Canis lupus familiaris: one gene and its partner. The protein of the gene in region 2 interacts with the protein of the main gene of each other region in a pairwise test. Links are inferred from orthologs where the notes say so. Each region holds a gene or a part of one and is shown on either strand. Other genes may lie near its edges.

Region 1 (7,544 bases), on a different chromosome or scaffold from region 2:
CACCGGGGCTAGGTTCAAGGGCAGCAAGAAGGATGAGATCCTGGGCATCGCCAACAACAGGCTGATCCGCATTGACCTGGCTGTAGGCGACGTGGTCAAGACCTGGCGCTTCAGCAATATGCGCCAGTGGAATGTCAACTGGGACATCCGACAGGTGGGCTGGGACTCAGGGTGGGATCAGGTTCCCGGGGGCGGGACAGGCGCAGCCAGGGGTGCAGGGGGGCGCGGGGGCTGCTCCCTTATCTCACCTCCTCCAGCCCCTCTGACTGCCCGCTCTGCAGGTGGCCATCGAGTTTGATGAACATATCAACGTGGCTTTCAGCTGTGTGTCCGCCAGCTGCCGCATCGTGCATGAATATATCGGGGGCTACATTTTCCTGTCAACCCGAGAGCGGGCCCGTGGGGAAGAGCTGGACGAGGACCTCTTCCTGCAGCTCACAGGAGGCCATGAGGCCTTCTGAGGCCTGTCTGATCGCCCCCACTTTGCTCACTGCCTGCTATGGCCACTCCTAAGCCCACACTCTCTCCAGACATGTACTGAGCTGGCACATTCACCTGCTGTCACTGGCTTTATGCAGACCAGGGACCTAATTGGGCCAGACTCTGCCATCCCCTAGGCTAGGGAGAGTGGATTATGAGCTCGAACAAGGTCCGCCCTTCCCTTGTCTAAGTGGCCAAGACTAATACCCTGAGCACAGGAGGAAGACCAGCTGTAACTACAGGATGAGGATAATTCATGGTTTCAAACTGGAGCTTCTTTTTTTGTTACCTTTTAAACTTTTTTTTAATAAATATTTTATTGTTGGATTATCCTTCTTCCTCTGGAGCTATGCTTGGGGGCCACTCTGACACTCTGTCTCTTCATTACCAGCCAAGGAGAGGGACTTTCCTGAGATAGAGACAAGAGGTTAGGAATGGGAGACCCATCAGCCTGGGGCTGGGAGCTGGGAAGGAGATGGCAGAGGGCACAGGCTCAGGCACCCCGAATAGGAGTAAGGTGGTGGTTCTCACGAGAAGGGCGGAGCTGCAGGGCCTCCTTGAAATACTTGGGAAGCAGGAAGCCATCAGCATTCCCTGGAGTCAGGATCACTCCATTGGCCGAGCGGAAGAAGGGGATTCCATCTGCAGACAAAGCCAGAGATGTAACTCCTATCCTCTCTGAAGCCCTAGGGCAGTCCTGCTGTGTCCAGACTCACCTGCCAGGGCCAGGGGCCCATCAATCAGCACAGCCACTTCACAATTTGGTCGCATGCCTGCAGAGACAATTGGAGCTGGGACCTGGGGCATGTGGAGTTGCAGTCATCAAACCTGGGCAGGCTCAGTGGAAGGTCCTGGGCTCAGGGGGGGATGGGGTGACTACAGCATGCAGAGCATGGAATGGCCTTAGATGAGAGAAGCTATGATACTTGGAGAGGGACCTGGTAGGACAACAGCTGGGGAGGGCCACTGACCACTGATGACACCAGGATCCCCAGGAAGTCCTGGGGCCAGGTGAATATGTGTCCTTCCCCGGCAGGACAGACCCTTGAGCAGGATGGATGGCCAGTGCTGCCAGAATGTGCCATGGACAAGCATGGGAGGCAAGGCCTGTGGGGTCTCCAGGGGCATCAGCTCCAACTCCGGTACCTGGGATGGGTTGGGGAACAGACAGCAGTGAGACCCTCTCCCTGGAGGGGTCCCACATGGTTCTCTCACTTGTCCCCTTAGCTCCCACCTGCAGGGAGTGACCCTGATTTGCCCGGATGAGAGGGCCAGTGCTGGGGTCCCCTGGCTGCAGGGCAAACCGCTGCTTCCGGTTGGTATCCACCACGCGCTGCACATCTTCAGCAGAGAAGCTGTGGAACTGGGGCAGCTGCAGGAGGGTGTCCAGGGGCACGAAGCCATCTGCAGGCAGGCAGGGTGCTCAGGAGCTGAACTTGTTCTGGCCTGGGCCAGAGTTAATAGGGCGAGCCACAGGTAACCAGAACAGAGTCTGGGCTTAGGGTTTATCTGTGAGAGTCTCCCCTTTCCGGGCCTCTCTTTCCTTAACTTACATGGGAGTAGGATCTGGCTTGGGGAGGGTCACAGGATAAGGGACTCTTCTATAGCATAGTACCCTGCCCAGAAAGGACTCAATAAACACCAGTTACCTTGACACCCCCCAACCCCCGTACCCACTCTTGGGTGTTTACTGGGCCACATGCACCATTAGTATTGCTGGGCCTGGACTAGACGGAAGGTCCTCTCCCAGTTTGCTCTAGACAGGATATCGGGCTCTGGGCCTCGGTGTTCCTTGCACGTGGAGGGGATGTGCCCTCTGTGCTGTCCCCATAGGGCCATGGGTCAGGCAGTCACAGATAGGCTCACACTGCTCCCTCATCTCCAACCACTCACCTCAGTCTTCAAGACTCTCACTTACCAGCCCTCATGGGAAGCCCCAGCTTCAGAGCCCCGTGACGCAGGGCATAGGACAAAGCCTTGGACAGCTGTACATCTCGGTCCTGTAAGAGCCCAGAGGTGACCCCTGGTCCCTGTAGTGATGCTGCCCTGCTGCCCACCCTGCACTCTGGGTGACCTGCTGCAGAGGGAGGCCACAGGGAAAGGAATCCCCACTTTCTGGGAAGAGAGTGTGTGACGCATCAGCCCCCATTCCCACCCACCAGCATATTCCAGAGAGTTAGGGCATAAAGTCCTCCTCCAATTACCACCAAGAAAGTGGGGATTAGGATGGGGTGGGCACACCTCTTCCCGGGGCCTGTGAGGCCTGTGAGCCCTTCGACTCCGGGGTCCTGTGGTTTCCGGCCTCCTTCCTCCAAGGGAGCTCATGGCTAAGACCTGAGGGGAACAGTGATGGGCGGGGACTGTCGAGGACCCTCTCCTGTCCCCACCCAGCCCAGCAAGTCACGAAGGACCAGTGAGCTGCGAAGGGGCTATTCAGCTCCTTAAACTCACTTCCCACCCATCCCCAACTCCCTAGTGCAGATGGGGAAGCTGAGGCCCAGGGAGCAAGATTGGCCCAAGGTCACACCGTGTCCCTCGCGAATCCCAGGGAAGCCTGCAGCCCCGCAAGGCGGCGGAGCGTCCCGGCTGACCGGGCGGGGGGAGCCCCGGGCCCCAAGGTCAGACGGCGCGGGCGGGCGGCAGCCGGGGACCGCGGAGGCGCAGGGAGCGGCCAATGGGAAGCCGAGGGCGGGGCCGGGCACTTCCGCCTCGGGGAAGGGGCGGGGCCTGCGCGGGGGCGGGGCCGAGAACCGGCTGCAGCTTGGAGCTTCCGGGTCCTGCGCGGGCTCCCGGCGCCTCAGGGTTGGTGGCAGGACCCTGGGTCTGGGGGAAGTGGACACGGAGGGGTGACCGGACTCAGCACCTCTGGGTGGAGGAGATGCGCGGGATTCCCAGGGCTGGCCGGCGGCGGGAATCTCGGGGCTCTCGCAGGGCCTTATAAGACACGCTCCTGCCCAGAGCGTGGTCACGGGGGTGCCCTAAGGAGGTCTGCGGCGGAGGCGCCCAACTGCCGGGCCCAAGGGTCGCCCTGGGGCGCTCGGGGTGACAGGCCCGGCTGTGTCCTCCCCCAGAGCTGCCCTGTCCAGACCATGGACCCCGAAGTGTCCGTGCTGCTGCAGTGCCCGCCGGGGGGGCTGCCAGAGGAGCAGGTGCGGGCTGAGCTGAGCCCAGACCATGACCGGCGCCCACTGCCAGGAGGGGACGAGGCCATCGCCGCCATCTGGGAGAGCCGCCTGCAGGCTCAGCCCTGGCTCTTTGACGCCCCCAAGTTCCGCCTGCATTCAGCCACCTTGGCTCCCACTGGCTCACAGGGGCCACGGCTGCTCCTGCGCCTGGGCCTCACTTCCTACCGGGACTTCCTGGGCACTAACTGGGCCAGCTCAGCTGCCTGGCTGCGACAGCAGGGGGCCACTGACTGGGGTGACAAACAAGCCTACCTGGCGGATCCGCTGGGGGTTGGTGCCACACTGGCCACTGCAGATAACTTCCTGGTCTTCCTGCGTCGGTCTCGGCAAGTGGCCGAGGCACCTGGGCTGGTGGATGTGCCTGGTGGGCACCCTGAGCCTCAGGTGAGATGCCAGGCTGGGTGCAAAGGCACAAAGGCTCAGCTCAGCTTTGCTTTCCTAATCCCTTAAAGGGAGGAGGGCGTTTGGGGTTGGCCTGGTGCTTCTCTGAAAGACTGCTCCGGGCAGCACCTCACCCTCCCCACTGACCTCTGATTCAGACCTGTGGGAAGCTAGGGAATGATGGGGGTGGGGTGGGGAGCAGAGGACTAGCTGGATCTCTGGTGGTCCATATTAAAATGGTGGGCCTGGGTCAGGGGATCACCGAGACTCTTACTCTGTGCCTAACCAGGCCCTCAGGGCCAGCAAATATGGGGGGAAGCAGGGTGGGAAGAGACGGAGAGCAGGGGCTGAGCCTGACCTCTCCTAGGCCGTGTGCCCTGGTGACAGCCCCCTGCACAAGGACCTCCCTGGGGAGCTGGTAGTGCATGAGCTCTTCTCCAGTGTCCTCCAAGAGATCTGCGATGAGGTGAGTGAGGGGTGGCCCAGACAATTGGGCAAGAAGGGAGGGGGTACAACATGCCAGAATTCCACAGGTGTGGCCTGGCAGGAGGGTCTGCAGGCATCTGGCATTGGGGGAAGGGCTTGGCTTTACAGCTAGGCATAAGGGGAATCCTAGCCCTCATATATCTGTGTGCCCCCAAGCTCTTCCTTTTTAAAATGGGAGTAATAAATGTCTTGTCTACTACCCCTCTATCCTTCCCCTGTTTGTTGAAAAGAGCTGTAAATGAGAGTCTTAGTTACTTTGGCCTTCCCTTGGGTGACCCTGAGCAAATTGTTTGGTCTCTGCTTTCTCATCTGTAATATGAACATGCCCAAGATCTGACATTTTGTGACTCTGGACGCTTGAACTACAAACTATAAAATGCTGTACAAGGGTAATGTTCTCCACTGAGAGGGGCAGGGATGTGGGCCACGGGCACTGACAGGTGGACCCCCTGCACCAACCAGGTGAACGTGCCACTGCCCACCCTGAGCCAGCCGCTGCTGTTGGGCATTGCCTGCAATGAGACCAGTGCCGGCCGTGCCAGTGCCGAGTTCTATGTCCAGTGAGTGAGCTCTGGGCTACAGGGTCCTGGGTCCTGGGGTAGGCGGGTGCTTCAGGGGAATGGCTGAGACAGCTGGGATTCCATGAGGACATTCCAAGGGCCAGGCACTCTCCCAAGCCACTCTCCTGTCCTTTTCCAGGTGCAGCCTGACTTCTGAGCAGGTAAAGAAGTTCTACACCAGTGGGGGAGCTGAGGCCCACGAGTCGACGGGAATCATCTTTGTGGAGATACAGGTGTTTAGTGCCAGAGTGTATCTTGCTTGGACAAGGAGCTGATGATGCACAGGCCTGGTGATGCATGTCTACCTCCCTGGGGCTGGGTCAGATAGGGCTGCTAAATCTCTTAGAGCTTTCCTCCAGAGCCACAAGGCCTCCTTGAGGATGCCCTCAGCCCAAGAAGCCAGGAGCCTCTTCACCTAGGGACGGTGAAGTGCAGAGGGATCTGAGGCTCAGGAACACTGGGCACAGCTCCCGCAAGAGACCTGAGGGCTGGATGTCAGGGATCTTACTTTCTCCCGCAGAGAGTGCAGAGGTTGCAGGAGACCAAACTGTGGGCTGAGCTCTGCCCCTCGGCCAAAGGCGCTATCTTCCTCTACAACCAAGTCCAGGGAAGTCCCGCCTGAGTCATCCTAGGGCCCCCAACCCTAGCACAACCTGGAAGACAATAAAGGACTTTATTCTTGGATTCCGTTGGCATCTGCTGGTTCCGTGAGACAGAGATGGACCGGTGGGTGAGACTGGATAAGTGTCTTGGGAAACAACCCCCACCACCCAGCCTCAGTTTTCCCCTCTGCAAACTGGGGTGAGGACCGCGCCCCCTTGCCCCGCTGTGGTGAGGGCCCGAGCTTCCCATGAGGTGGAAGCTGCTTTATGAAAGATGTCTCGCTGGAAAGCCCAGTAACATCCCTGCCGGAGACCGCGCCGGACGCTGGGTGGGCGGGGCAACATCCCTCCAGTTTCGCGAGCGGGAGCCTGAGGCTCCGCGGGCCTCCACGTCGTTGGGTGGGCCCGAGGCGCCAAAGGCCAATGGGCGTGCGGGGGTGTGGCCTTTGACGCACTTCCGGGCCTTCCGATTCGGTGGGTGTAGCTTGGGCGTCTAAGCCAATGAGAGCGCGGGGGCGGGGCTCGCATAGGCGTAGGGGGCGGGGCCTGGCAGGCCCCTCCTTCCCCCGCCGCCAAACTCCCAGGGTGGAGAGGGGGTCCCGACGTCTGGGACTGGTTGTCTGGGACACCAAGACCAGTGGGGGAAGCGATCCGGACCCCCGGGCTAGCGGCAGGGGCAAGTCCAGGTCACTGGGGTCTGGGCCTGAGTGAAGGAGGCCTCACCGCCCCTGGGTCCTCTAAAGCTGGTTCCGTTTGCCGACGCTAGTAAAAGGAGCCAGGCCCTTCCCTTTCCCCCCGGAGTGCTCGAAGTGTGGTCCCATCCTGGTCCCAATGCACTTTGTGGCCTCCTTTCATCAGCCGCCTGCCAGTCGCCATGCTGTCCCTGTGCCTGTGCCGGTTCTGGCCCCGCAGCCCTTCCACCCGGCTCTTCTCGGCGGCCACCAGGCAGCGGTGAGTCGGAGGCCGGGGAACCCCCGGGGAAACCCCCCCCCCTCCCCGGCAGTCAGTGGGTTTTCGTTGAGGAAGGCCTGCCCAGCTCCAGGCCTGGACCTAGGTACTAAGATAGTTGTGATCTCTCTACTCTGTGTCAGGTGCCTTACAGGCTTATTTCAGGTAACCCTCACTTTGACTATAGAGGACACAAGATCAAAGATGAAGAGACGACCCTCAAGGTCATACAGCCAGTTAAGAGGCAAAAGTGGAATTTGAGCCCAAGCCAAACTCAGTGCTCTTTTCACGACTGTCGTGGTCGTGGTCGTCGAACATCAGCATCACTGCAGAACTCACTGGAGGTGTAGGGGCGGAGGTGGCTTACAAAAATGCAAATTCCTAGGCCTTGTTCTGGAGATTCTGATCTGCAGGAATGAAGTGGGTTTTGGGAATCTGTGTGTGTGTGTGTTAAGATTTTATTTATCTATTCATGAGAGACACACAGAGAGGCAGAGACCTAGGCAGAAGGAGATGCAGGCTCCATGCAGGAGCCCGATGTGGGACTTGTTCCCAGATCCCAGGATCACATCTGAGCCAAAGGCAGACACTCAACTGCTAAGCCACCCAGGCGTCCCAGGAATGTTTTTAAACAAGCTTCCTGGGTGTTTCTGTTTAAAGGGGTCTGAGGGCTACACATGGAAATGTTCTGATCTGCCCATACTTGAAATACTCAAAAGGGGAGGGATGATTTGGAGATGGATCTCCCTTGGCACCAGCCTCAGCTTCCTCACCTCCTGGTTTCTTTTTCTCTCTCTCTCTCTTTTTTTATCTTCCTCCCAGTTTCTGAGTTGAGGACTGTGGCCCAGAGGTGCTGGGAGGGGGAGGGGAGGAAGAGCCTCTGTGTTTCCACAGCCCTTGCA
Region 2 (6,257 bases):
GAGGCCCCCAAAACCTATTTCTCAGGATTTTTTTAAAATCGTGAATTGTAACACACAAAAGAGCGCACAGGTTGTAAGCGAACAAGTTGATGATTGCAAAGCGCACACACCCGTGTCCTGAGCCCCCCCCCCAGTTAAGAAATGAAACATGGGCAGCCCCGTTAGAAGTCCCCCTGTGGCCCCCCCTGCCAAGGGTAACCCCATGACACCTGCCACTGTAGGTCACCTGGGCTTGACTTTGTTCTTTTTTTTTTTTTTAATATTTTATTTATTCATGAGAGACACACAGAGAGAGGCAGAGACACAGGCAGAGGGAGAAGCAGGCTCCCTGCGGGGGGCCCGATGTGGGACTCGATCCCAGGGCCGAAGGCAGACGCTCCACCGCTGAGCCACCCAGGGATCCCTTGACTTTGTTCTTGGTAGAAATGGGACGTTCGGTATTTACGCGTTTGTACCCGGCTTGCCTTGTTAAAGGGTGCGCGAGATGCGGTGGGCGGTGTCGGCGGAGCCGGGCCTCGCTCTTCTTCGCGGCTGCATCGTGTTCCAGGCACGATTAGGTCACGGCTCGTCTGTTCTGCTGTGGTTTCCAGTCCGGGGAAGCGGTGACTGGGGACAGCAGCTCTGAACGCCCTCGTTCGTGTCTTTGTGGGGGCAGTGGCCCGGCGGTGGTGGCCAGTCTGCCGGGACACAGATCCAGGAGCAGGGGAATCGCGAGGTGGGGCCCAGGTAGCCTTCCAAGTAGCTGTGACAACTGGCGCTGCAAAAGGTTTACGCTCTCCCAGGGTCCTGGGCGAGTTTGGGCTTTTGGCACAAGGATGACTGGTAGGCAGGGAGGGACCCCAGCACGCTGGCATTTCTGGAGGGGCTCCGGCTGCGGTGGTGGACTGCTGGGGCACAGCAGGCGGCTGGTGGGACCATCGGGTCACGCGCCCCCCCTCGGCCTCTCTTTCCTCGGGGACCTGAGCCACTTCCCCAGAGGTAAGCAGTCCACCCCAACCCCCCTCCCTGTGCCCTTGGTCCAACCTGGGAACCCACTGGATTGGGGCAGGTGGGAGTTTCTCGGAGTCCAGAAGTCCCTTGGGTGCCCGGGTCCCTTAGGGTCTGCAATCTACACTGCCCGCCCTGCCTCATCCTCAGCCTTGCCCCGTTCCCTGGGGGGGCAGCCGGAGGCCTCTTGATAGCCTTCCTTGGGGTTCCCCTGGGTGGTCCAGCTGGGGCGTGGCAGGGACGCCTTGGACAGGTCCTCGGAGGGTCTGGTTCAGCTGGGGGGGGGGCGCTGTGTGTTCTCTGATCTGGCCAAATGGGCAGAGTGGGGATGCAGTGGGCGTGGGTCCTGCGGGCTCAAAGTCTGGTGTCTAAGGGAAAAGAATGGCACCGAGGAGCCCTCTGGCCTGGGGATGGGAAGCCGGGTCAGCTCCGCTTCAGGCCCCTGGGCCGGGCTGTGTGACCCAGAGCCTCCAGCTGCCCCTCCGGTCTGGGCATCAGTTCGGGAGACAGACTACAGGGACAGGCCGGACCCCCCACCCCCACGGGGACTCTCCGGATCCGGCCCGTCAGGAGGAGGGAGCTCAGACACGAGGGAAGCCCCCTCCTCCCCTGGGAAGGGGGGCACCGCGGCAGCCCACAACACAGAGGCAGGAACAAGGCAACCAACCTTCTCACATCTTTATTTGAAAGGCACAGCTAAGCCCACCCTCGGTACAGCAGTCTCCCTTCTCTCCGCAGCGATCAAACGACTCTACACAACAAAAGCTGACAAGTCTAAAAGGCTATATACAGACACAGGTGTGGGTGTTGCTTGTTTTTTTAAAACATTTTTCTGTCCTTTTTTTCTTTTTTTTTTTTAAATATCCCTTTTCTTAAAAGACAAGCTAGTGTACTGGAAAAAGGAAAAAAATAAAATAAAAACCAAGACAACTTGAGTACCCTCATCTTTATTGGGGAAGGGGAGAAAGGGAATTCTGGGACGCCCGCCCGCCCCCACCCCTGCGCCTGGCTAGGCTCCCTCTCTCCGCCCCCTCTCCTGCAGGGGAGAGGAGCGGTGGGCGTGGGCTCTGGAACTAGCCTTGCGGAGGAGGAGGGGAGTGAGGGGGGAGGGACGCGGGGTGCCCAGGGCGGGAAGGGGCAGCTAGCGTGGTGTTTGCATGCAGTGCCAGGGTGGGAGGCTGGGGGCGCGCCCTGAGGGGCCCGGCGGGCGCGGGCGGGGAGGTGCGGGGGTGCTGGGCTTCTGGAGGCTCTGCTGTCTTCGGGCCTGGCCTCCCCTGTGCGCCTCCAGGCCTCAGCTTACCTCCCGGGTGGAATGGGCAGGTATTGGCCCACTCCGGCTGCAGGGGGGGCGGGGAGGAGGGGAGAGGGAGGAGGAGGAGGGAGGCTGGAGCCGGGGGTGTGAGAAGCTAGGGGTGGCACACAGGCAGGGCTAGGACCCCAGCAGGCGGCTACCATAAATACTACCGAGTTCAGCCAATCCCGAGCTACACTGTGTCTTGCGCTAAATGTTCCTCTCTCCATGTCTGTGTCCCCTCGCCCCCCCACCCTCCCCACCCCGCCACCCGCTAATCCGACTTCTCGCCGTCATCCTCCTGGTGGGTGTCACCGTCGTGCCCGTTCTTGTCTTCCTTGGAGAGATGGGCCTGGGAGCCCAGCGCAGACAGCGAGAGGAGGCCGGTGCCGGCACTGACGGCGGGCAGCGAGGGTGGCTGCAGCCCCACGGGCAGTGGGGTCAGGGGCAGGGCCAGGGCCTGCAGCTGGGACAGCTGATGGGCTTGGAGCTGCTGCTGCAGGGCAGACGGAGGGAAGCATTAGCTGCCTGGGGCCCCTGCCCACCCAAGGCCCACCCAAGGCCACCCAAAGCCCAGACGTACTCGGATGATGGAGTTCAGCTCGGGAGCGGTGACCTGCTTAGCCCTCTCGATGGCTCCCAAGACCTGCTGCTGGTGCTGGAAGGGGGATGGGGTAGAGACAGAGGAGCCAGGTGCTGTGCCCCGATCTCTGTGCAGGTTTGGGGCACAGAGCCCAAGAGGAGCCACCCTCCCTGCCCCCGAAAAACCCCTCCCTCCAGCCGCTTCTGTTCACCAAGCCCCAGTCTCTTCCTCTGGAAAATGGGGACAAATGACAGATTCAAGAAGACCCAAGGGGATTGGTGCCAGATACTGAAGAAAATGCCATTAGGGGAGTCTGAGAGAAACCCCGGACCATGACCTATTCAATGCCATGTGCAAAGGAGTCAATGAACAGTGCACAACCTGGCCAACCATACAGAGAAGACCTGATCCTAAGAGCCTGCAGCCTGTGCCTCTGAGATCTGCTAATCCAAGATCCTCTCCTTGCACAACTGGGGAAGGCCCAGTGGATTCTGGGTTCAGGGCAATCCCTCCCACACCCGAGCACTCCCTGAAAGTCTGTTTCTCCTGCCAGTTTCCCTTTTTGCCTTGCCTACCAAGAAGTTCCTGTCATGAAAGGAAAGCACAAGTCTAGGTCTATCAGAGCCCCAAGAACCCCCTTCTCTAGGGTTTTCATAGTATCCTTCTGGAATTGTCTCTGGGCAAGCAGGTTACCCAAAGGGCCCCAAGACATGGTCAGGAATCCAAGAGGAAATGATAAATTATGGACAGGAAGCCTGGCAGAGGGCAGGAATGGCTCCGGTGATGGAATGGGCCTCACACCAACGGTCTTAAAACCCCAAAAAGCCGGGATGCCTGGTTGGCTCAATGGTTGAGCATCTGCCATTGGCTCAGGTGGTGACCCTGGGGTCCCAGGGTCGAGTCCCACATTGGGCTCCCCGCAGGGAGCCTGCTTTTCTCTCTGCCTGTGTCTCTCAGGAATAAATAAATAAAATCTTAAAAAACAAAAAACAAAAAGCCAAAGCAAGAGCTCAGTGCGTGGTTCCCCGGGGTGCGTGTCCACGCGTCCCTGCGTTCATGTGCGTGCAGACCTGTGTCTGCAGGTGCGCGTGCGAGCCTCATCTATCTGTGTTGAGCCCGTGCACGCCTGCCTCTGTGTGCACGTGTGTGTGCAAGTGCCCTCCCCGAACATGCGGCCCCTGGTTTCTGGCCTGAGGCGGCCCCCAGGGGCCTGGCACACAGATCTCAGAAGGGAAAAAGGCAGAAGCAAGAAAGGGAAAAAAAAGATCCTTGGTGCAGCCTTTGGCATATCTGACGTCTTCACCCACGAAATGACTCACTCAGGCTGGGAATTCCACAGCAGGGTGAGGCCCCTCCCTGTACTGCCCTGTGCCCCTGGGGTTCCTCCGATCTGCGGATCTTCTGTGTCTGGGAGGTCCAGAGAGGGGAGGCGTGTGCCCTGGGCACCCAGCAGCTGCTGCCCCAGAGGGCCGTGGGCGGGGGTCGGGGTGGGGGGAGGCCCGGGCAAGTTCATGGCCCAACCACCTCCTCCTCCCTTCAGCCCCGGGGGTGCCACTCACCTCTTGGGAAAGGTAGGGTAGGACCTGGGCACAAATCCCATTCAGCCTCTTGACGATCTCGGCCTGCAACACACAGAGGCTTCAGTGCAGGGGAGGCGGCGGGGAGGCGGCAGGGGCAGGTGCAGACCAGCCCCAGTAGCTGGCGGGGTTCCGGCTGAGAGGAGCCCAACTGGGCCCCGGGTCGCATCAGCACCTCAAGCCTATGGGCACCCAGTCGGAGGCAAAGGTGGGCTCTGGGGCCAACCGGGAGTCCAGGCTCGGGGACTGGGTGGCCCTGGGAAGATGCCACCCAGCATGGGGGAGAGGGTGGCCCACAGCACAGTTCTTAGGACATCCCTGATATTGGCCGACCTCAGGGGGCCGGAGGGCGAGGGGCAGTCTGGGGGTTCTCAGTGTGCTGGCGTGTCACCCCCTCCCACAGGAGTCAGCCGGGTGGGGGTGGTAGTTTGGGGGAGGCCGGAGAAAGAACAGGGAGAGGGGTGTGGAAGGTAACAGGATAGGGGGGTAGACCTGGGGGTCACCAAGGGGCGGGCCCACCTGCCTGGGGTGGTGGCCTACCTGCTTGTGCATCTCGATGTTCAAGCCGTAGGACATCTCGTAGTACTGCGTGGTGGGGAGACAGAGAGAGAAATGGGGTGGGCCAAGGATGGGACGCACAGTGTGGGAGGACGAGGGCAGGTGGGGCGCGCATGCGGGAGCAGGGTCTTGGCCCCTCATGGGGCCACTTGCGGGGAGCTGGGGAAGCGTCAGGGCCCCAGCCTGGCCCCAGCCTGGCCCCAGCCTGGCCGGGCTCCCCTGGCTTCTGGAGTAATTATCCAGCCCCCTCTCCAGCACACATACATTCCAGGGCGCCTAATCTTTTATCTTTATGTGTCTTGTCTGCGGGTGGCCCCAGACTCCAGGGAAGTTGGCCTTCCTGGGTATAAATAACCAGGATAAACAAAGCCTGCTGGGTCTGGCTCTGGGGTCAGCAGCACCCCCCTCACGCCCCAGATCTGACCCTGCCTCCTCCCCTCCTCTAAACCCCCTCATGGCTCCCCATCATCCCTGGGGGTGGGGCAGGGGCAGCCAAGTTCATCCCCAGGACTTTCCGTGGTTTCTTCTTCTCTGTCCAGCAAGCTCCTACTCATTCTTCAAGACCCGAGCTGCAGTGCCCCCGCTTGGGGCAGTGAGCCCCCCCTGGGGAATCCCCCAGTCCCCCATAGCTCTCTCTCGCCCCCTCCCTATCCCTCCAGGGCCAGGAGGGTCAGTGCCCAGCCAAGCCTGGGAGAGCTGGGCTCTGGGCTGGGCCAAGGAGGGGGGCTTTTAGATGTAGGGACTGCCACCTGGCGGGGATGGATCCAGGCAGGATCTCAAATGTCAGGCAAAGAATGTAGTGTCACCCCTTCCCTCCCCCTCCCAGGATGTCAGCTTCCTGCCCGCGGCGGCTGCCCCCCCCCTCCTGCTGAAGCTCAGGCAGGGAGGGGTTAACTGCCCGGCCTGTGGGGGCAGGGAGGGATCCGGCCGCTCCCCCAGTCAGTTCCTGGCTTTGGCTTCCACGGCAGCGGCCTCCTCTGCTGCCAAGGACAGCCGGGGGACCTGGCAGGCCCGGGCTGCAACCCGGTGGTTTGGCACCTGGGCCACTGGCTGGGCGGGCGGCCAGGCCAGCGAGGCGGCCTGGGCCAGGCCCTGGGGCCGGCTGAATGGAGCGCGGACCCCGATCCTCGTCCATCCCAAGGAGGTGGCCGGGTGCAGGCAGCTGCCAGGGCGGGTGGAGGAGGGTCCAGGGTCACCCCGCGCCCCCCTGCCCTGCCCGCCGCCCAGGGCCAGCTTACTTACCATCACATAATGACGCTGC

Evidence for each region. The genes of interacting proteins can lie anywhere in the genome.
Region 1: the proteins of TLE5 (region 2) and NUDT22 interact in binary tests that used the Homo sapiens proteins (3 or more experiments, as listed by UniProt). The two-hybrid records come from large-scale screens. The link is inferred for Canis lupus familiaris from reciprocal best matches to the Homo sapiens genes TLE5 and NUDT22.

What each region holds. Positions count from the first base shown.
Region 1 is NC_049239.1:53,334,623-53,342,166, reverse strand, and holds NUDT22 (uridine diphosphate glucose pyrophosphatase NUDT22), read left to right. Parts: upstream 1-3,203; 5' UTR 3,204-3,282; exon of another isoform or gene 3,283-3,449; intron 3,450-3,551; 5' UTR 3,552-3,569; coding exon 3,570-4,049; intron 4,050-4,413; coding exon 4,414-4,512; intron 4,513-4,994; coding exon 4,995-5,092; intron 5,093-5,231; coding exon 5,232-5,325; intron 5,326-5,612; coding exon 5,613-5,714; 3' UTR 5,715-5,776; downstream 5,777-7,544. Other genes in the region: FERMT3 (fermitin family homolog 3), read left to right, coding at 13-154, 282-461; DNAJC4 (dnaJ homolog subfamily C member 4), read left to right, coding at 5,811-5,818, 6,553-6,645. UniProt on the Homo sapiens protein: Hydrolyzes UDP-glucose to glucose 1-phosphate and UMP and UDP-galactose to galactose 1-phosphate and UMP. Preferred substrate is UDP-glucose.
Region 2 is NC_049241.1:56,591,278-56,597,534, reverse strand, and holds the end of TLE5 (TLE family member 5), read right to left. Parts: coding exon 6,239-6,257; intron 5,024-6,238; coding exon 4,979-5,023; intron 4,484-4,978; coding exon 4,421-4,483; intron 2,937-4,420; coding exon 2,862-2,936; intron 2,775-2,861; coding exon 2,553-2,774; 3' UTR 1,651-2,552; downstream 1-1,650. UniProt on the Homo sapiens protein: Transcriptional corepressor. Acts as a dominant repressor towards other family members. Inhibits NF-kappa-B-regulated gene expression. May be required for the initiation and maintenance of the differentiated state.